Caenorhabditis elegans: one gene and its partners. The protein of the gene in region 4 interacts with the protein of the main gene of each other region in a biochemical or structural test. Each region holds a gene or a part of one and is shown on either strand. Other genes may lie near its edges. The genes, in order: nos-3, csr-1, eef-1A.1 and fbf-1.

Evidence for each region.
Region 1: the proteins of fbf-1 (region 4) and nos-3 form a complex in vitro, tested with the Caenorhabditis elegans proteins (one study listed by BioGRID).
Region 2: of the proteins of fbf-1 (region 4) and csr-1, one has a biochemical effect on the other in vitro, tested with the Caenorhabditis elegans proteins (one study listed by BioGRID).
Region 3: of the proteins of fbf-1 (region 4) and eef-1A.1, one has a biochemical effect on the other in vitro, tested with the Caenorhabditis elegans proteins (one study listed by BioGRID).

What each region holds. Positions count from the first base shown.
Region 1 is NC_003280.10:9,744,556-9,750,978, reverse strand, and holds nos-3 (Nanos-type domain-containing protein), read right to left. Parts: upstream 4,664-6,423; 5' UTR 4,513-4,663; coding exon 4,476-4,512; intron 4,278-4,475; exon of another isoform or gene 4,263-4,277; coding exon 3,946-4,262; intron 3,801-3,945; coding exon 3,570-3,800; intron 3,435-3,569; coding exon 3,314-3,434; intron 3,270-3,313; coding exon 2,653-3,269; intron 2,555-2,652; coding exon 1,674-2,554; intron 1,627-1,673; coding exon 1,176-1,626; intron 1,131-1,175; coding exon 1,119-1,130; coding exon of another isoform or gene 1,109-1,118; 3' UTR 525-1,108; downstream 1-524. Other genes in the region: Y53C12B.7 (uncharacterized protein), read left to right, coding at 297-468; Y53C12B.1 (U3 small nucleolar RNA-associated protein 13 C-terminal domain-containing protein), read left to right, coding at 4,912-5,063, 5,211-6,018, 6,322-6,423.
Region 2 is NC_003282.8:7,955,490-7,962,702, reverse strand, and holds csr-1 (Piwi domain-containing protein), read right to left. Parts: upstream 5,437-7,213; 5' UTR 5,368-5,436; intron 5,130-5,367; 5' UTR 5,124-5,129; coding exon 4,649-5,123; intron 4,105-4,648; coding exon 3,945-4,104; intron 3,904-3,944; coding exon 3,750-3,903; intron 3,707-3,749; coding exon 3,495-3,706; intron 3,451-3,494; coding exon 3,299-3,450; intron 3,252-3,298; coding exon 2,866-3,251; intron 2,821-2,865; coding exon 2,099-2,820; intron 2,055-2,098; coding exon 1,955-2,054; intron 1,911-1,954; coding exon 1,554-1,910; intron 1,504-1,553; coding exon 1,315-1,503; intron 1,272-1,314; coding exon 1,183-1,271; intron 1,137-1,182; coding exon 1,040-1,136; 3' UTR 546-1,039; downstream 1-545. Other genes in the region: Homeobox protein ceh-19, read left to right, coding at 6,898-7,135.
Region 3 is NC_003281.10:6,969,517-6,973,366, forward strand, and holds eef-1A.1 (Elongation factor 1-alpha), read right to left. Parts: upstream 2,197-3,850; 5' UTR 2,165-2,196; coding exon 2,021-2,164; intron 1,968-2,020; coding exon 1,799-1,967; intron 1,751-1,798; coding exon 930-1,750; intron 881-929; coding exon 623-880; 3' UTR 510-622; downstream 1-509. Other genes in the region: F31E3.12 (uncharacterized protein), read left to right, coding at 27-112, 162-332, 374-503; rfc-4 (Replication factor C subunit 4), read left to right, coding at 2,744-2,805, 2,852-2,930, 2,976-3,070, 3,119-3,179, 3,245-3,501, 3,549-3,681, 3,735-3,850.
Region 4 is NC_003280.10:6,077,743-6,082,617, reverse strand, and holds fbf-1 (Fem-3 mRNA-binding factor 1), read left to right. Parts: upstream 1-1,774; 5' UTR 1,775-1,897; coding exon 1,898-1,939; intron 1,940-1,985; coding exon 1,986-2,219; intron 2,220-2,267; coding exon 2,268-2,437; intron 2,438-2,489; coding exon 2,490-2,742; intron 2,743-2,785; coding exon 2,786-3,399; intron 3,400-3,447; coding exon 3,448-3,576; intron 3,577-3,621; coding exon 3,622-3,825; intron 3,826-3,869; coding exon 3,870-4,068; 3' UTR 4,069-4,355; downstream 4,356-4,875. Other genes in the region: H12I13.6 (uncharacterized protein), read right to left, coding at 4,383-4,534, 4,608-4,683. UniProt on the Caenorhabditis elegans protein: RNA-binding protein that binds to the consensus sequence 5'-UGUGCCAUA-3' in mRNA 3'-UTRs. Involved in the control of stem cells and sex determination in the C.elegans hermaphrodite germline.

The DNA of each region.
Region 1 (6,423 bases), 3.7 Mb from region 4:
GTTGCTGCGCGGAGTTTTCATCGATTTTTCCTAGTTTTTTATTTAAAACTTATTTATTTATTATTAAACACTAAAATAGAATAAGTAAATTTTAGCAAATCGTAAGAAAAACTGTTGGAAAACAATTAAAATTTCACAGTACCGAAGTTTTGAGAATACAGTAACCTTTAAAGGCGCCCACCCGCATGTATTTTACAAACAATTGTCGTGACGAGACCTGGTGCTGTATTTTTTGCACAAAAATTGAAAAACTTCACGTCTTGGTGATGAAAAATATTAATAAAAGTGGATTTCAGTGTTCCAATTCCATTGCTGCCTTACCACGAACACTTTGCCACGTCTGCAGAATCTTCGTCACATCATCAGAAGCTGAAAGCGTTGGCGCGTGAACACAAAATCCTCAAATGGGCCAAGGAAATCGGTGGCATCGCTAAAAAACGGAGAAGGCGAAGTGGATGGAGTGGATGAAGATGTTCTTGTTTTCTCTAATTGATCAACAACAACAATACGGGACACTTCTGTTTGAATTTTGAGATTTATCGGAAACATAAATATTTGAAGATCGTTTTTCGAACCAACATCATCAGTATTATGCATTGTTTGATGGGGAAGAGAAAGGGGATAGAGAAAAAGAGGAAAACGGGCGGGATTATAGAGATACTTTAGAAAGTGGGGGAGAAGGGAGATAGTATAAGAAAGAAAGAACGGTGACACAATTTTAAAAAATCAGGATTTTCTGCCAAAAATTTCAATTTTCAACAAAATCATGACAGAAAAGGGATGACGAATTGAATTCGAACAGACCAAAGGATGGAACTCGAGTTACGGAATCCTTGTAGGATTGGGGGAATTCTTTAGCAAAAAAAACAACAAAAAAGAAAAGAAAAACAACAAAACGTTTCAACAACAAATCGGGATAGACATGAGGGGGTTTCTTTTAAAGCTTTCGCAGTTGGAATTCGGTGGGATGGTGGTATTAGCATGGGATGGAATGAATAGAGATCGAAGTGAATTTTGTTTGGGCGAGCGGGATATTTGAAAGATTCTTGAAAATCGGAGGAAGTTTTTGTTGTCGTTGGACATCGGTGCCAATCAAAATCCAACGATTTTACTTACGTTTATTCTGGAAACTTGATGGGAATTAGTTTTTTTTTTCAATTTATTAAAATACAAACCTGATAGTTTCCACGTTGTCCTCCTCCTGATCCTCCACCATGTCCACGTGAGTAACCTCCACGACCACCACCACGTCCACTGCCTCCACTTCCTCCAGACGATCGTCCACGATAGCTACCAGTAGAATTTCCGCCATAACTATGGCTATAGTTCTGACCGTATCCTCTACCGCCACTGCGATTTTCTGAATTGTGACGAGATTTATGTGACTGATTGTCTTGTTCGACTATTTGATCGGGAACATCCGGTACAGTATCATCCTGATCATCACTTATTTCCTGCGGATCGATCGGCTTCTGCGAAGACTCTCGAGATTTTGCCACACGTTCTTCTTCTTTCTTTTTTGGACAAATTAGAGGGTGATGACCTTGTTCTCCAGTCGCCTCACAATGCCCGCATTTGATCTTTTTCATATGCTCACACCACAAATCACCATTATCCTTGCGAATACTGAAATTAAATTTTTAATTTTTATAAATTAGAATTTTTAATCTTACTTATGGGAAGACACTTCTTCAGCAGGCAACTGGTAATGTTCACATCGATAACAGTGTAGTTCAGATTTCGAAGTAACATCATCTTTAGACTGAATATCATCCGTTTTCGGATTTTCCTCGCTTATTTCAGTTTTTGTCGCTTCGATAGATGCTTCTTGATCAACTTTAAAATCTTTCTTTGGGGTCTTCTTCCGATGTTTAGGAGTGCTTGACCGACTTGGTGATTCAGAATTTTCAGTCGAAGTTTGATCATCTTTCGATTCGACTAACTGAAGGATCTGTTTACTTGGTGATCCTGCACGTGAGCTAACTGGTTGAAGATGTTCAATTCTATTGGTAAGCTGTGTAACTGATTCATCCACTTGTTGACTGTCGGATTGATATTGACTTGATGAATCAAAATTTCCTCGATTTTGTGGATAACTTTGAGAAGAATTGTAGCTTTGATTAGAATTTTGACGAGAATGTTGGTATCCGTGACCTCGTGAACCACCTCTTCCTCTTCCTGATCCAGCATTTCCACCTCTTCCAGAATTGAAGTAGCCCATCGGCTGTTGCTGTTGCATTCCAAAACCTCCACGTATTGGTCCTCCCATTTGATTAATTTGTCCACTCATTTGATACGGCGGGCCTCCCATGAGCGGCTCAACACCTCCTGGACGTCTACCTTGCTGTTGCATTTGTTGCATTTGATGGTGAGGCGGCGGAACCATTTGCATATATTGTTGCGGTAGATATTGTCCTGGATGCTGTTGTTGGGTCATTTGTGCATTCATATGAGGATGATTTTGCTGATGGGGATGATTCATCATAGAAGCAGCAGCATGAGGTGGTGGTGGGCCTCCTTGTGGCATTCCGTATGGTTGCATTTGCTGAAACATCTGAGGAATTGTTGTTTGTTCTTTTTAAAAAAAGTGTAACTCTGTGAAATTGTCAAAATATAATATAAAATCTTCCCCTAATTTTTTTAAAGTTGTACCTGCATCTGATGTTGCATTTGGACGGCTTGTTGTTGATCCATTTGTTGATGTTGTTGCTGAGGCTGCGTGAAGTTTCCTGGTGGAGCGTAACCGACAGGCATCTGATTCCAGAGTGGGTTCGATACAAAATCCTGTTGATGGTAGCCTTGTTGAGGTTGTTGTTCATTCTGATGTTGATGTTGCTGACCATCGTCCTCATTTTGACTGTTTCGTTTACTTTTGCGAGCATTTCCTCCGTCTTTTTCCAAACTGCTAGCTCCACCAGCTGGCTCTTGCCGGAACACTCGTGGTGCTGGCACAGGAACATACACCATTGGATACAGCATTGGATGTTGTTGCTGCTGCTGTTGATTCTGTGGATTGTGAGGCATCATTTGAATAATTTGGCCTTGCGGGCCTTGTGGACCCCTATACTGTCCATAAGATTGAGCATTGTGTGGCGGTGGTGGCCGTTGCTGGATTACTGGTCCAGCATAATATTGAGCTTGTCCACTATGTCCCTGCTGTTGATAGGTATTTCCTGGAGGAGGTCCTTGTCCACGGTACTGATCAATTTCATAGTTGCCACTGTTCATCATTTGCTGCTGATTTTGTGGTGGTGGCCCTGCTTGAGGATCTAAAATTATGCTTTTGAACAGAACACAGTAAGTTTGCACCAACTATATTGTGGCCGACCATCGAAATTATCGTTGGGGCCATGAATGACAAAATTATTGTTTCCACCGTTGTTGTCATCCGCGTATCCACTTGGCGGACCACCGCTTTCCATTTGTTGATACTGCTGAAAATAAAGAATTTGCAAAATGTCTATCAACTCTTCTCATTATTTTCCTGTAGATATAATTTCCAAATCATAACGCTCATTAAAAAATTATTATGAGCTAGAAATAATTGAGGAGCCCGTAATTCTCCATACCCGATAGCCTCCTGGTGGTCCTCTTTGGTATTGTCCACCATCGGATCCACCTCCAAACTGCTGCTGTTGATCATATCCTTCTTGTGGTGGTGGTTGTTGTTGCTGATAGCCGGGCGCGCCGACGGTTCCTCCGTAATATGTCATACCATTTGGTGGTCCAGTATGTGGCGGCTGTGGGCGCATTTGAGAGAATTGCTGTTGACCGCTGTTCCGATGATAAGCTGCTCGATGCTGAAAATGAATGAGATAAATTACATGTTTGATATTTCACTGATTTGAAAAATCTCTCAATTCTCTTAAAACCTTGCGCACCTCAAAAGTGTTCTTTTTCTGACTTATCTTTTTTCGATAGGATTTTCAATAGTTTCCTACTTACAAATCCTGGCGGAGCACGTGTCTGTTGAGGTGTGCCCTTTTGGTCGTCAGTCCCTAGCCCAGAATCTGGTGTTGTCCTAGTGGTGTTTCCTGGCGGCTCTGAATACTCAAACGAAATTGCTGACGACACGTTGGCAGTCGAGTTCGGCACCGAATCAGTCGTTGAGGTATGATGGGGGTTGTTGTTGTTTTGGTTTGAGTTTGCAGCGCTGCCGCCGTTTTTCTTGTTGTTATTATTATAGACGGTTGGGGCACGTTGTTGTTGCTGCTGTGAATGTTGCTGGAACTGCTGTCCAGACATTACCAAGTGAACGTTGACTGTAAATGTTGACTATCGAAGTGTTTTAAAATATGCAATATGTTTAGAAAAAGAGAATCAGCAAAATTTTATCGGAATCTATGTTTTCAAAAATAAGGAGCTCAATTGGCAAAGAGTATCAAAGAAAATGAGAAATTGAAAAAGGAACATGTGATTTTGGTAAAACTAGTTTTTAGTTCTCAGTTGAGTGGAAATAACAGAAAAAAACATACTCGGAACACTTTGTGTGTAGAAATGTAATAATTGCATATTTTTCCAGAGTTTATATTGCAAAATGATAATGTTACTAGTTTAAGATAACTCTTATTTGAAGGCGGCAAGGTAATAAGAGAACAAAAAGGTTAGAAATCTATAAAAAGCGTCGGCGAACGCTAATAAATTCATCGATAAAATGCCGAAATGGGTGGGCACTTAAAGGCGCGTAGAATTAAACGGGAAGTGGGTCTCGCAGCGAATAAGTACGGTGACACTTGTTTCGGCATTAGTGTCGATTTACGGAGTCGTTTTTTTAGATCATTTGATAGATTTTAAGTAAATTTCACCTATTTTCTATTCTTTTCATCAACCTTTACAGTTTAAATTATGTTATTCTTATTTTTAACTCTTGATCCCTCAAATAACTGCGTTACTAAAACATTTTAAGGTGAAATGACTGAACCTATCAAGGAAATTGCCGCGAAAAGAAGTGTCGAAGCAGTTTACACCGGAGGAACTGTCAGATGGAGTGCAAATGGTCAGAAACTTTTTTCTACATGCACAAATGTTGTGAAAGTGATTGATCTGGCTGACAATACTGCAAGGTATGTGATGTTGCGACAGAACTTTAAAACAAGTTTCACCCACAAAACTAGAAGTAGATTGATTATGATTATTTGAAAAATTGAATATGAATAATTTTGAAGTTTAATAAAATAAATTAAATTTGAAATGCATCAAATCTTTTGCAGCTATACCATCGGCGACCCTGAAGATGAGCTACGCATTACGTGCACAGCTGTCGACAAGAACAGAAATCGCCTTTTGGTCGCCTATAACAATCAAATAATTCGTGAATACTCAATTCCTTTGGATCCGTCGACAACTAAACCAGAGTTGGCCAGAACATGGAAAACCATACACACTGCTCCTATTCTCGTTATGGAATTCAATGAGGAGGGCCATTTACTGGCGACTGGAAGTGCCGATCACATCGTGAAAGTCTGGAATCTGACAGAGCAACAATGTACACACACATTAAAAGGACCCTCGGTAGTTTCAGCAATTCTGTTCGGAAAACATGAAAAGCTTGTCGTTGGATACATTGAAGGACAATTGAACCTCTATAATATAATGAGAGGTGCTCCGAAAAAACTTGTAAACACATGGAAAAGTCATAATTCTCATATTACCGCACTGCTTCAAGTTCCGGATTCACGAGTTGTTGTGGCTCTTTCGCGAGATCAGACGATGAGTATTCATGAAACAGAAACTCAAGAAACACTCCGAGTTCTTCCACTCTACGAATCAATTGAAGGCGGAGCAATCGGACATAACGGAAATCTTTTCACTGTTGGAGAAGAGGGTGTTGTTAAGGAATTTGTGATTGAAACTGCGAAGTTGGTCAGAAAGAAAAGGATTGCCAGCTCGAATCTCGATCACTTGGCCTACGATGTTGTTTCTAATCGCTTTTTGGCAATTTCCGCCGAACAAAATCTTATAATTTTGGATTTTGAAAATCTGAAAATTGCAAGACAAATTGTTGGATTCCATGACGAAGTGAGTTTTATAGTTGACCTTGAAAGAAAAACAATGATTGCAAATTGGAATTGAAAACCATTTGTTGATATCATTTTTGTCATATCAAGTTGCTTTAATGTATAATTTTTCGAATGTAAATCTTTTATACAAAATTCGTAAAAAAACACCGAAAAACGAAAATATTTGATTTTATCATTTTTTTAATAATTTTTTCTTTGAATATTACCACTTTTAATATGCTCTCAAATTGCCAAGTAATATTTCTACGAATAGTAATAATTGGATTTAAGAACCTTCTTAATTATTATTCCCTATCTTCAGATCTATTCGTGCTGTCTTCTTGGAAAAGATGAATCTCACATGGCTGTCGCTTCCAATACTTCTGAAATCCGACTCTACAACACTAAAACCCTGGATTGTCAA
Region 2 (7,213 bases), on a different chromosome or scaffold from region 4:
AAATTCAAAATGGAATTTACAATTATCAATCCGAAAGTTATTTATCAATTTCCCCGCAAGAAACAATTTCCTTTTTTAAATAGATATCGTGTTAATGTACTATTTATATAATGGGTTTCAAACCAGCAAGAATCTATGGTCTTTCGGAATTCTGAAATTCTCACAAATTTATTCATGAGAAGCTGAGAAGAGAAGGGCACATCTTCTGAATTTCTCTTTTTATTCCACATTCGGTGCGTCATTTCATTCGGTAGACGAGCTGTTGTATTTCAGATAGATGAAGCTCTTTCAGTGGCTGCACACAAATAACTAATTATCATGTGTCATTAATAAAACCAGATGAATGCCACGTGAAAACTCATGAATTCCTGAGTTTCGCAGTTGTATACCCCCCAGGAGTCAACGAAAAATGTGTCATGAAAACATTTTATGGATCATGTTTTATGAGCAACAAATTCATTTTCTTGAGCCTTCACCAAAAAATTAGATTACGCAGGCCGTATGGCAGGGGTAAATGTTTCACACGAATCAAAAGATCTTTTGCATACACTGTTTCAACTTTTCATCGTTGAATAAAATCTGCCACAAAAATTCATGCAAAGATAAAAATAAAAACAACATTATTCAACACGACATTTATATAATGAAGTTATACTAACCAGTGGAACAAGGTAAAGGTAGGATATTCTTTCCACAATTTCATATGAAAAGAAATCTTCCAGTGAACATATGTGAGAAGACCGATTGTTCAACATATCACCAGAAATGATAATTATATTTGAATGGAAAGAAGAGCAAGTTGTGTTGTATTCAAGAGAAATACTGGCTGCGCTTCTCTATATTCAAAAACAAACGAAGAATGGGAGGAGCTTGAGAAGAGAGGGTGGAGGCAAGAAAAAGGGAAAAAATAAGATGAGACTTTAAGGGAGGAAAATTTAACAGTTAAAATATTACGAGCGGAGGAATTTATCTATTGAACTAAGTCTCAGGATATTCGAGACATGAGGAATGTAGGAACAACAGGGAAAGAGTTGCACGCCTAAACAACTCGAACTTTTGAAAGTCGATCGAGAGTGCTATAGGAGAGTTGAGTGGTGAGCGTTTCCCAATCATCAAAGAGTTCGCCATTCTTGAACCTGAAAAAATTAAAATTTTAAGTTGCATTGAATAATCACATTATACCTATAAGCTTTGTAAAGCCCGGTTCCTCTCTTGGCGAGCTCATGAGCAACGTAAACTGGAGTTGGGATGGATGTTGGACTGTTAACAAGCTAAAATTTTCCTTTGTGTTAGAAAGAAATCAGTTGTCTGTACCTGATGAAGACTGCATACGGCGCAAACCATTTTGGCAACATGTTCGTCCGAAACTTCCTCATCATCTCGAATAACCAAGAATGATGGAACCTTTGCAGTACCTTGCACTGGCCGGAAAGCTTGGATGAAGATTTGTCTTTTTCCATATTCGGCAATATCACCACCAACAGATGTATCGGGAAGCGGATTCTGAAAAATAAGACGTACAATTTTAACAGATTATTGTTTTAAGAACTTACGATCGGCATGTTCCCGTGATGTCCTCCCTTGGCGTAGAATCGAGTGTGGTGACGTTTTTTAACAACAATGGCTAATACTTTTGGAGCATAATCAGAATGGCCCATGGACTTAGCGGCTGTCTTAATGGTTTGCTCAATGATTTCCACCTCCTTCAGAGCCGCAGTCTCTTCACCGAATGAAACACCATCACGGAAGATGATTACTTTCTTTGGGAAACCTCGAATTTCGGCAAAGTTTCGAACGCTTTGGTCAGTGAATTTTCGCAAAATTTCATCCTGGATCGCCTCTCTTCTAGGATCGGTGTATAAGAAGTCTCCAATGAACGAGTATGGGTTTTCAGCAGAATTGCAGGACAGCTATAAAATAAATTTGTAGCGACACGGCTATGTTGATAACTTACTCCGACGGTGGATGGATTTCCTTCTCTCGCAGCGTTTCGGTCAGGATGAGCAACGTCCATTCCAATTACGAAGGTAGAAACTTCATTCCAGCACGCAAGACTGTAAAAATTAATTTAATAATGTATGATGTGCGCCCAACTAACTCTCTTGGAATATCTGCTGTGTAGTTAAGTCCACCGCATTTAATGTTGGCTTTCATCACAATATTGTCAAGAGTCAAATCATATGCTCTTCTTCCACCTTGAGACTTCTTTTCGATGTTGTCACGCATCTTTTTGACATTTTTGAGAAGTACGTGCTGCGTTGGAATGTCACTCATACGCTCTTCGAATTTGAGGCACTCATGAATGTTAGGAACGTCATCGGAAATAAACAAGACGAACGGAGTGAAAGACGAATCCCGGTAGTTTGGATGAGTCACCAAGTTTTTGAAGACCGAAGTAAGGAAATTTTCGCTGCCTCGTTCGCCATTGTGCTGATCCATGCTATAACTGCCAATGTGCATTCCTTTGTCCTTGCAACGCTGCATGAATGCTTTCGCGACAAATTTGGTTGCATCGCAATCAGCATCCCAAGTTCGAGTATAACCTGCTACTAGAACGAACATCAAATGGTCAATCGTAGCAGGTGTAACAAACTTTTTGTCTTGTGCTTTCCAGTCACGCTTCTCATCATCCACGTGTACCGGGTCTGCATATGCAACACTAGGCGCGAGGACTCTTTCACCGTCGATCTCACTGACGTTGTTGAAAGGATCATTGCAGATTTGGACACCAAAATCTTTCATGACTTGATCGTTGAAACCAAATTGATCGTAGTGTTTTTGAAGAGTTGACCAGCGTTCGTTCGGGGCATTCGCTCGTGGCTGTAAGTTGAATTAAGATGACATATATGAAAAATTTAAACTTACTGTAAGCTCAAACTCTTCGAGTACACGGCGGTCAATGGATTGATAAGGAAGAACCTTCAAATATTCGAGCGGCATGAGGCGCTTGTGTGGTCCAGTGCCGCATTGAACTGCAGGAAGCATTGGGAATTTCAGATTTGGATACTTTTGTCTGAATTCTGGATCTTTCGGCGCGTTGTAGTCAACATCCGACACTGTGATAGTGTTCGTAGCCCAAATCTGTTTGTCATCGTAATATGGGTTGCATTTTAAATCCTTCAACAATAGTTTCACGGCTCTTTGCAGTTTCATATTTGGATTAACGATACGGTTTGGCGGAAAATCACGAGGAAATGCGTACTGCAACATCTGACTGAGTGGGATTGAAGCATAGTACTGAGTCGATTGAGCTGCAAATATATAAAATTGCAAAGGTATGAACGCGAATGAAACTAACGATCGAGTTCTAGAATTGGAAGAGGTCCGTTTGCTCCGACGATTCGGCATCCTTTGTGGATTCCTTTTGCTGCAACAGCCCATTTCACGCGAAGCTCCTCCAAGCTTTGAGTGTGGACATAGAGACCTTTCGACTGCGACAAATATCTTTCGCTGAAGATACATTTGGAAAGCAATAAGTAAGAAATTAATAATACCTTCTAATGGCACTCTGTGATGTCACAATATCCAAATAAGCGTAGAATCTTGGATCACTCCATTCGTTAAGCTCCGTCTGAACGAATGACGGTTTCTCGAGATCCGGTTCACAAGAGATCTCCAAATCGCCGCTGAGGAACGAGATGGAATCCTTCAGAAAATTGGAAAGTTCCGGGATTTCGAGAGCATCTTCTTTCTTGATATCGACCATCTATAAACCCAAATACAAGAAAGAAAAAAAAATGAAATCATACCAAGCTGATTCCCTCCAAAGTGAATAAAGACTGTGCACCGTCGTACGCGAATGCAGGAAGATTCTGCTGACCCTTCTTCGCGGCCCACTGTTTGAGTAGGATGTCAAGAAGAATAAAGTTATCTTTTTGCTTTGTTGCACGGTTTCCACGTCCTCTGAAATAAAAGTGTAAATTTTAAACGAACAGTACACTCACCTGGCACTCATTGTTGTAAGAATATACTCCTTATTGTGCTGACGATCGATGAGCTTCATTTGCACAACATGCCGGAAAATCGTTCGCTCAGAGAGCTCAAGCCCGAAGATGTTCAGGGCAAGTCTTGGATTTTGCTTCTGATTCATGTCAGAGTTAAGTCCTGAAAAAAGTATAGTTCAAATTATTATTTAAAAAATAAAAGCAATGATATCAAAATTCAAAATAAGAACGGGAAAGAAACGATCAACTAAACGCAGAGAAAGGCCTAAATTTCAAGTTTTTGGGAATGCGAAAATTCTAGAAGATTGTGATCACACCTGACGCGAAGTCGCACACTTTTCATCTACCGTATCCATGTGAGAGAGCGCGCACCACCCTTTGTTCAATGTTTTGATCAGATGAAACAATTTTTAAATATGCTAAAAAAAGAAAATATGTTGATTTCGTTAGCTTTTATTGATTTCATAACTATTCAGTCTTCTATTTTATCAAATTACTGATTTCTCAAAATTGTTTGTTATGTGCCTCCGCATTGGTATTTCTTTGTTGGTGGGAAGATTTTTTTTAAATCTCGAAAAACAATTTCCCGCCCGAGATCGAAATTATTTCGGTTCGTTCCCCGAAAAATCACAGGTGCGAGATCAAAAATTAATTTAAAAATCAGTCGCTATTTAAATACAAAATAATACTCAAATAATACTCACCTTTAAGCTTTGGCTCTGCTGAATTTTCCAAGATCAATCCATTATATTTAGGATCCACGGTAGTGGTTTGGGTCGATCCACCTCTGCCGCTCCCGCCAGTTCTCCCGCGATAGTTTCCGCCATTTGCTCCCCGATTGTACCCTCCAAAACGATTTTCTGCTTTTGATTCTTCATCATCACGTCTTCTGTCGTAACCTCCTCGTCCACCTCTGAATGATCCGCGGTTGCCTCTCGATCCTTCCTGACCATCTCGATGCGAGCCACGATAACTTCCAGTTGGCGTCTTCTCATAGTTGAAATCATGACGGTCTCCTCCTTCATACTTTACCTTGCCTTGATACGTTACATGGGTTTCTCTCGTTTCTAAATCCGGACGATACGAGTCTCCGTATCCTCCACGTCCTCTACCACGTCCACTACCTCCACGAGAACCACCACGGCTTCCACGGCCACGACCGACATTATCCGACTGCATTCTAACCTGAAAATATTGATAAATTAATCAAGAAATGTAATATTATTATTTTTGTGAAATTTTGAGGATGACAGTTGTTTATTATCCGCAAATTTTGAGGTACACAAATATCGAAAGCTGATTTCAATTGATTGAGAGAAAAAAGAAGGATTTTCGAAAAAAGAAAAAAACTTTTGAAGACCTATTTATTCAGATTTGGAAAACAGTTAAGTCAAATTTAAAACCTTAAAAGCATCACACAAACCTTCAAAGTATAAGAACTCTAACAATTCTTGCGAAAAACAGGAAAGTCTCGCTTCAATTTTGGAGCTAAAACGATAGAATAAACTAAACTTGAAACCTGACAAAACACCACGTATGCTGACCTTGAAAAACGTGGCTTTTTGGCCGTTTACCGTGACAAAGGTCAACACTTTTTTAATATATTTTACGCGTGGTGAAAGTTATCACAATTATTACTGGAGCACTAAATCCTGAGAATGAGTACTGTAGCAATAAATACTGTAGCATACAATTTTTAAACTAAAATTGAATCAAGGCTAAAAATAATTTTGAAAACAGAATTTCCAAAATATGTTTTTAAAGGATATTCTTACCGAACACTCGAAAATATGAATACAATGAAAATAAAAATTCAAATCTTATTCATGAAATTATCAGAGAAAGAGGAAAATAAATAAAAGCTCTTTGTTCCCATAAACATTGGAAAACCAATAAAAATGGGGTGAAATGGCATGATCACGTCTGCAATAAAGATGATTCATAACTGTTTATGCATCAAAAAAAAATGTTTGATTTTGGAAAATGTATCTAGTTATTTGGAACTAGGACGATAACCGTAATCAGAGATACAAAAGTTTGAACATTCATACCGATAATTAGTGATTAGCGGTATTTTGAAAAATGTAGATAATTCAACTAGAACAATGCACTATTTAAATTTGTATCAAGAAAGTTTCTAGTTCTTGAATTAAAGACAAAAATTCAAAATAAAAAATCTGCTTACACAATTGATTTGATAAAATTTTGTTAACAGCAAACATGTAGACAATAAAATATTTTGTCTGTTAAAATGTGTTTTTGATTTATGAGTTGGAGTCCCGTTAACGTAATCATTTCATGTAAAAATACAGTTCATTACTATATTAATAAAAGTAAAAAGTTTTAGACTTGTTTAAATTTGCGAAAACCTTCAACTGTCCGTTCCCAAAAATAATCCACAGTTTCATAATTCTCCTGGAGAATGCCTTGTGTGCTCAAAAATATTCATATTTCTATGAAAAAAGTGATAACAAAGAACCGAAAATTCAAAATCTCACGATAAACGATAACAAATCGTGGAAAAAACACTATTATTTTGACAATTTTCCAATATTTTCAATGCTCACTTTCCCATTTGTTAATTACTTTTTTTGGGGTTACTGTAGCCGAGCTATATAGCTGAATTTTCTTAGGAAGGTTTTCTCTGATTTTCTCAAAAGAATCTAATTTCAATTCCATTAATAATCTCAATTACCTTGCCTCAACAAAAATACTCAAATTTCAGTGTTTGTCATAGAATGATTACAAGCATGGGCGGTTGAAGAAAGAGTGTATTGGTGGAGAGAGACTCAGAGCTCACCTGTCGCATAACTTTCCCACGGGTTCCTAATATAAATCAAAACCTGAAGCCGAAAAGGCTCTCATTCTCAATCTAATTCCTAATCGTCATATATATTGGCAACTTCTCAACTCTACATTTTCTTAAAGTCTTTTAAATAAAAACTATTGAAAAATGGCTTTCAATATTGAAAGTTTACTGGAGAAAAAATCTAATCCAGTTGAAGAAGGTAATGATTTTGAGGAAGAAAACGACAGCGAAAAAAACGGTGAAGAAGACGAAGAGGAAGAAGAAAAAAATGTAATTGATGGTTGGACAAATATGGCAACAAGCCAATTGGCAATGTTTGCTATTGCAAATGATCTGAGAACACCAACTCTTGTTGAGTTACAAATGCTTTTAGGAGTATCAGGTAATCATTAATTAGTCTACATATCTATTAACATTTAATTATGTAACTTCACCCGAGCGAACTACATTTTCCAATTAC
Region 3 (3,850 bases), on a different chromosome or scaffold from region 4:
TTTCTACAACTACTTTTTAACTTAAGATGACGCAGAAACTATCAGAAAATGAAGAGAAGGATGACACTGGTTACTATACACCGAAGAATATATTGAATCCTGCTATGTTCCGGTTCGTTTTCCCAATTTTGTAAATCAATGTACTAAATTGATCTAATCAGGCTGGCGGAGATAACTCGTGCCTTAAGCGAAGTTAATATGGAAGTTGAAAAGGAAAAGCTGTTTGATGATAGAAGACATACTATAAATGTGGACCAGTTCACCCGAGAAGAAATTGATATCAACGAAAGAAACAATGAATCTCCAGATGCTATCGAAATTTTAGATCGAAGGTGAGGAGCAAGCTCAATCGAATACCAAATATTACTTCCAGATCTGAGAAGCAACACTGCAAATGGACCACGAAGCTGAAGAACAACGAGGACACAATAGCCAAAGTCTTGATTATTTGCCTCATTATATCTATCACTTTATTAATGTTAATGCTGATTTTCTGGAGTTGAGTTAACAGAGATGAACGTTGTTTATCAGTTTTCAATGTTTATTTATTTCATAACCCATTAAAAAGTAAAGAGTTGATAATTTATTCAAAAATCAACAAGATAAACTCAACAATGAAGATTTACTTCTTCTTTGGTGCAGCCTTTTGGGCGGACTTGGTGACCTTTCCAGAGGATCCATCAGACTTCTCAACGGACTTGATAACTCCGACAGCGACGGTTTGTCTCATGTCACGAACGGCGAAACGTCCGAGTGGAGCGTAGTCGGTGAAGGATTCAACACAAAGTGGCTTGGTTGGGATGAGCTCGACGATTCCAGCATCTCCAGACTTGAGGAACTTTGGGAAGTCCTCAACCTTCTTACCGGTACGACGGTCAACCTGAAAAACAAATTGGTACATAAACGAAACAATAAGACAAATAAGTTACCTTCTCCTTAAGCTCGTTGAACTTGCAGGCGATGTGAGCGGTGTGGCAATCGAGAACTGGAGTGTATCCGTTGGAGATCTGTCCTGGATGGTTCATGATGATGACCTGGGCGTGGAAGGTGCGAGCCTCCTTGGCTGGGTCTTGCTTGGAGTCGGAGCAGACGGATCCACGACGAATATCCTTGACGGAGACGTTCTTGACGTTGAATCCAACGTTGTCTCCTGGGACGGCCTCTGGAAGAGATTCGTGATGCATCTCAACGGACTTGACTTCAGTGGTGACGTTTTGTGGAGCGAAGGTAACGACCATTCCTGGCTTGATGATTCCGGTCTCAACACGTCCGACTGGAACAGTTCCGATTCCTCCGATCTTGTACACATCCTGGAGTGGGAGACGGAGTGGTCGGTCAGTTGGGCGTTGTGGTGGAATGATGGAGTCGAGAGCCTCGAGGAGGGTCTTTCCGGAAGCGTTTCCTTCCTTGCGCTCAACGGCCCATCCCTTGAACCATGGCATGTTGGAGGAGACCTCAAGCATGTTGTCTCCGTTGAATCCAGAGATTGGGACGAATGGAACAGCCTTTGGATTGTATCCGATCTTCTTGATGAATCCAGAAACCTCGTTGGTGATCTCGGTGAAACGGGCCTCAGAGAATGGTGGCTCGGTGGAGTCCATCTTGTTGCAGGCAACGATGAGTTGCTTGACTCCAAGGGTCTGGGCAAGAAGAGCGTGCTCGCGAGTTTGTCCGTTCTTGGAGATTCCGGCCTCGAATTCTCCAGTTCCGCAAGCGACGACCAAGACGGCGCAATCGGCCTGGGATGTTCCTGCAATTAAAGTTTTATAAACGAGCTAAAAATTTAACAAAGTCGTACCAGTGATCATGTTCTTGATGAAATCACGATGTCCTGGGGCATCGATGATGGTGATGTAGTACTTGGCAGTCTCGAACTTCCAGAGAGCGATATCGATGGTGATACCACGTTCACGCTCGGCCTTCAGCTTGTCGAGGACCCAAGCGTACTTGAAAGATCCCTTACCCATCTGAAAAAAATCGGGTGAGAAAATCTTTCAAACTAGTTGTTTGTACTATTTACCTCCTGAGCCTCCTTCTCGAACTTCTCGATGGTTCTCTTGTCAATTCCTCCGCACTTGTAGATCAAGTGTCCAGTTGTGGTGGACTTTCCGGAGTCGACGTGTCCGATGACGACGATGTTGATATGAACCTTTTCTTTTCCCATGGCTGCTACGGAGTGAGCAAAGTGTTTCCCAACTGAAAAAAAAACAATTTAATTTAAAAGTAAGAAGAGTGCGGACGGTAGAGAGAATAAAAGTCGAAAAAATTATCCTAGAAACTTCTAATATTTTTAAAAATTAAAAAAATATAAAAAGTGAGGTCACAAATAAGACAGTTAGAACATTTGTTGAAAGCCTAAAATAAAAATTCGACTAAACAGTGAGAACAGGAAAAACGCTGGGACTGAATGTTTGACCTCATTATAAATTCATAAAATTTAAATTTCCTAATCTGGATAAAAACAAAGATAAAAACAAAATAAACCAACAAAAAACCAACATGATTAGTCAGATGACCAGAAAACTCACGTTAATTTCACAAGGCCCAAAAAAATCTCTCCCCCTCTCGTTGCTGCCTGCACATCTAACTCCTAGCACGAAAATGTACCGTACACCATTTCAAACACTCTCGGCGGGAGTGTTGCATACTTTTTCTCTCTGGCAGTTTATTTTCAATAAATTCTTCATTTTTATATTGTATAATGTCTTTATTTTATGAAAAATTCATTAATTTAACAGAAACAATGGAAGAACCAATGGAAGTTGACAATAAAAGACCAAAGGTGCTCACCTGGACAGAAAAATAGTTAGTTTTTTGTTTTTCGATTTGCAAAGTAAATTCAAATTTTCAGTCGTCCAAAAACGCTAGACGATATTGCATACCAGGATGAAGTCGTCACAATGCTGAAAGGAGCGCTTCAAGGAAGAGACGTATTGCTTAAAAAATTATTCAAACTAATCGTTTTAATTTTTCAGTTACCACATCTTTTGTTCTATGGACCACCAGGTACTGGTAAGACGTCAGCAGCTCTTGCATTTTGCCGCCAACTCTTCCCAAAAAATATTTTCCAGTAAGTGAAATACTGGGTGATAATTTTTTCCAATAATTATATTTTCAGCGATAGGGTTCTTGATTTGAATGCATCGGACGAGCGTGGTATTGCAGTTGTTCGTCAAAAAGTAAGATTGCCACTGATTTTTAATTAATTAAGAATTCCATAATTATAAAAACGTTTCCTGTTTAGATTCAATCCTTCTCCAAGTCATCTTTGGGCCACAGCCATAGGGAAGATGTTCTCAAATTGAAAATTATCATACTTGATGAAGTTGATGCGATGACCCGAGAAGCACAAGCAGCAATGCGCAGAGTTATTGAAGATTTTTCCAAAACTACTCGCTTCATTCTCATCTGCAACTATGTTTCCCGATTGATTCCTCCAGTTGTGAGCCGTTGTGCCAAGTTCCGATTCAAATCACTTCCAGCCGAGATTCAAGTTCAAAGGTGAAATTTCAAAATTAAGTGTTTTTTATAACTTTCGGTGTTTTTAGATTGAGAACAATTTGTGATGCAGAAGGAACTCCCATGAGTGATGATGAACTGAAACAAGTTATGGAATATTCAGAAGGTGATTTGAGACGAGCTGTATGTACACTTCAGTCATTGGCTCCAATTTTGAAAAGTGTTAGTTGTTTTTTCTATAAATATTGTGTAAAAATAGTACTTTATATTTCCAGGGCGATGACAATGCTCGAAATTGCTATCTCCGTGGTTCTTCGGACAGTTTACTCATTTCAAACGTTTGCAAATCAATCCTGACTGCTGATGTTCCCCAAATAATTGCATTGACAAA
Region 4 (4,875 bases):
CGAGATGACAAACTTTTTGGTGGCAAAGGTTCTTTGGGGGCATAGTATCCAAGGAGACAAAGTATCCAGTAGACAAACTGGGGTGTATCTTGGGGGGCATATCTTTGGTGACAACCTTTTTTTCAACTAGATTTTTATATGTATTTTTCAACTAATTTTTGTTCACATTTTTCTGGAATAAGTTTTTTAATGCAATTTTCAATCGATTATCGGTTATAATTCCCTCACAATTAAATGTATGAACGATGGTCTTTTGGGAAAAGCTGTAAAAGGTCCAACTAACTTGGAATATCGTGAGGCTCTTCCTGATGGTCTGATCCTTCAGCTCCGAGGGATCACATAGGTACCTTCTGATGTTCTGATCCTTCAGAAAAGAAGGATCGTAAGGGTACCTCCTGATGGTCTGATCCTTCAGCTCCAAAGGATCACGAGGCTCTTCCTGATGTTCTGATCCTTCAGCTCCGAAGGATCACATGGGTACCTTCTGATGTTCTGATCCTTCAGATAAGAAGGATCGTAAGGGTACCTCCTGATGGTCTGATCCTTCAGCTCCAAAGGATCACGAGGCTCTTCCTGATGTTCTGATCCTTCAGCTCCGAAGGATCCGACGTCATCATCTCGAAGAATCTTACGATATTCCAAGTTAGTTGGACGTTTTACAGCATTTTCCCAAAAGATCATTGTTCATGCATTCAATTGTGAGTAGTCAAGGCCGAAAATCCATGGAAAATTGCATTTAAAAACTTATTCCAGTAAAATATGAACAAAAAATGGTCAAGAAATATATATAAAAAAACTAGTTGAAAAAGTTTGTCACCGAAGATACGCCCGGTCAGAGACAAATGGCACTTTGTCGACTGGATACCATGTCACTTTGGATACTTTGTCCCCAAAAATACCTTGCCACCCTAAAAGTTTGTCCCCTCGGAATGAGGGCCAGTTACCAGTGGCCATAATCGTGTGATTATTATTTGGGATGTTCGAAGTGTTTGCTCCGCCCTTTCTGGATCACAATAGACAATTGCTTCTTCTACTTCTTGAATGTCTCATAATTCTTCTTATTTTTATCTAATTTATTGCTTCTCCTTTCTATTTTGTATATTAACTCCCAAAAACGCCCATTCTTCCCCAAAACCATCTAAAACTTACCAATATTTCCCGATACCCCTGACAGGTTATCCTGAATAATGATTGTGATTCTCAAATTTCTTCTAATCCCGTTAATTCCCCAAATATTCGAATGTAACTTTTTTTGGAATTTTTTTGTTTTCTAGTTTATAAATAAACAATATGTTTGAAAAACAATCGTAATTTGCGTTTTAGATGGTTAAACGGTAGGAAGCTTAAGCTTCCTACAACATCCAAATACAATGCAATATTTTCTGAAATTCTAAATATCAAAACATCATCCGGAATATGGAGATTTAATGCAACTCTATAGAGGTTTATGGGGACTTAGTCTTCTGGAAATTGAATTATGTGATTATGAATTAATTTTAAAAAAACCAATCCCAATCATACGATCGTCGACGACGATCGTCCCTCGCGTCTCGCGAGAGCCAACTGGTTATAGCTTTTCGGGAGGTTTAAATGTTTTATCAATTTTATACGGTACGGTCTGGAATATTCCACAATTTTTTATCTGTTTTAACAGAGAATATCTCTCCATGGAGATGCTAAAATTTTGAGAGATAAATAAGCAAATCGCATTGTTTGAAAATTTCAATTTGGATACGGTAGACAATGACAAAGTACGCAAACACCAGAGTATGTGACACACTTTCGTCATTCTCAAATTCAATTTGAAATATTATTTTCTTATTCCTATTCTCTATTTTCTGTGAATTGATAGTTTTTCTATAAGTAACCATTCGAATAAAATTATCAACTAATCGACATGGACCAATCAAAAATGCGCTATACAAATCAGTTCAGAAAAGTTGGTTTTCAGCCATTAATATTGATAAATGGCCTAAATTTTACAGACTCCGCAAAAGCCCACATCTACAGAGGTTGGAAATCATCATACTCCCGCACATTCGCCGATGGCGCAGCATGAGACATCAATGTGGAACTTCAACTCTCTCAACCCGTATTTCTCAATGCTCAATATGAACGATGGGATGAATTATGCTCGCCATCAACAGAATCACATTGTTACATCGCGGCCACCAACCCCGCTAACTGATTTGATGAGCCTCCGGAGTTTTCAGAGCTTTGTAAGTTAGAGTAGCTAATTTTTGGTTGTTTTCATTACTGATTTGCAGCCCAATGTGTTCATGCCGGTCTCGCGTAGCCGAACTTCATCATTCATTCAGTCTGATACGGATTCCTCGCGTCTCGAGCCGGACGATTTTTCACAAAATGTCCGATATTGCTCTACCGAGATTGATCGTAACAATAGTTCTTCGAAAAATGACCATTTGAAATATTCGAGGTTCGAATTAATTTATCACTATCCTCAAGTGTTTATTCTGTTTTATTTATAGACCCGCTCTATCGAGGAACTCTAGATCATTCACAAGATCAAACAATGTGCTGCCAACCTGGTCCTTGGATTCCAATGGTGAAATGCGTTCAAGATTGTCGCTCTCTGAAGTTTTGGATAGTGGCGATTTGATGAAGTTTGCCGTTGACAAAACTGGGTGCCAGTTCCTCGAAAAGGCCGTGAAGGGCAGCCTGACATCTTATCAGAAGTTCCAATTGTTTGAACAAGTTATTGGGAGAAAAGATGATTTCCTTGTAAGTTTTAGTTTCTGCGAGCACACACGACTTTTCTTTTCAGAAATTGAGCACGAACATCTTTGGAAATTATTTCGTACAAGAAATCATTGGAATGTCATTGACAACTTATGATGACGACAACATAAAGCGACAAGAAAAGTTGAAGAACTTCATCAGTTCCCAAATGACAGATATGTGCTTGGACAAATTTGCGTGTCGTGTTATCCAATCCAGTCTCCAGAACATGGATTTATCCCTTGCGTGTAAACTTGTTCAAGCTCTACCTCGTGATGCTCGTCTTATCGCAATCTGTGTTGATCAAAATGCCAATCACGTCATTCAGAAAGTCGTAGCTGTCATCCCACTGAAGAATTGGGAGTTTATCGTGGATTTTGTTGCAACCCCAGAGCACCTCCGTCAGATTTGTTTTGATAAGTATGGGTGCCGTGTTGTGCAAACTATAATCGAAAAACTCACTGCTGATTCAATAAACGTTGATTTAACTTCCGCTGCTCAACATCTTCGTGAACGAGCACTCCAACGCCTCATGACTTCTGTGACTAATCGGTGCCAAGAATTAGCTACGAACGAGTATGCCAATTACATAATACAGCATATTGTATCCAATGATGATCTGGCCGTATATCGGGAATGTATCATAGAGAAATGCCTCATGTGAGTGTTGTTTAATATATATTTGATTTTTAATCATTAATATTTCAGGCGCAATCTTCTTTCGTTATCCCAGGAAAAGTTTGCGTCTCATGTTGTAGAGAAAGCATTCCTACATGCACCAATGGAACTTCTTGCTGAAATGATGGACGAGATTTTCGACGGATACATGCCACACCCGTAAAAATTTCGTTTCAGTCACATAAAAATTAAATTGTTTTTCAGGGGCACTGGAAAAGATGCTCTCGATATCATGATGTTCCATCAATTCGGAAACTACGTCGTTCAATGCATGCTGACTATTTGCTGTGATGCTGTGTCTGGAAGACGACAAACGAAAGAAGGGAGCTATGACCATGCAAACTCATTCCAAGTTTGGCTCAAAAAGTTGCACTCGAGAGTTACGAAAGAAAGGCATCGCTTGTCAAGGTTATCACTATTGTCACAATAATATTTTGAAATTCGAATTTCAGGTTCTCATCCGGCAAAAAGATGATCGAGACGCTTGCCCATCTCCGTTCAACTCATCCGATTTATGGACTCCAATCTTCGGGACATGAATCATTCAAGACGGATTGCTTCAGTACTGCTTCCGAACACGATGGTCTAGAGTTGGAGAAGAATGGAATCGAGGAAGGTAACCTGAGGCTCATGCGAACTTTCTCACCATAAATCTCATCCCACCCACTTATGTTCTGTTGTTTTGTAATATTTTAAACTGTTGCAATGGTTTCGTTTCGATTTTAAGATCGATGTTGTGCCATCCCCACCCTTATCATTGCCCAGTTTTGTTTTTTCTTTTCTTTTTTGTTGTTTTATTGCTTTTCATGCAGTTGTGTTATTGTTTCTTTCTGTTTATTGTTCATTGTTTTGTTTTTTTTTTTCGAATTTAATGAATCCAGATAAATTTGGACACGAAAACTCTAAAAATTAAATAAAATTATTTCAACACTAAAATAATTCATTACGCAAAAACAACAAACAAATTATTCGAAGATTTCCTCTCGTTGACGCCAGGTAGAGTTGGCGTCGTCGTTCTCCATGTAAACCATTGATGTTGGAATTGTGGGGCGAGCCTCCACGCCTGGCGGTGGTCTTCTCGGTGCGAACATCATCGACCCACCAATCTCCTCTTCGACTGAAAACACAGAGTATTTAAAATAAAATGAGAATGAAAGGTAAGTTCCTCCCAATTACTTCAGTAAACTCGCCTTTTTTAGCCTTAAATTTTCCGCAGTTCACCAATACGGCAGCAGTGAGAATAACAGAACAGACGAGAAACAGCATCTGTAAATAAATTTGATTTCAATCTCTACTCTTCAGCACTTATACTATAAGTGTTGTACTTCTATGAGTTTCATTGGATAAGTGTCTATTCGGAATAGTCTCGCTGCACTTTATTCTCTACAGTAATCTTACATTAGAGTATACGCGAGAAATGGAGAGTGCTGCGAGAACTAGAATGAATATGCCTCCCTT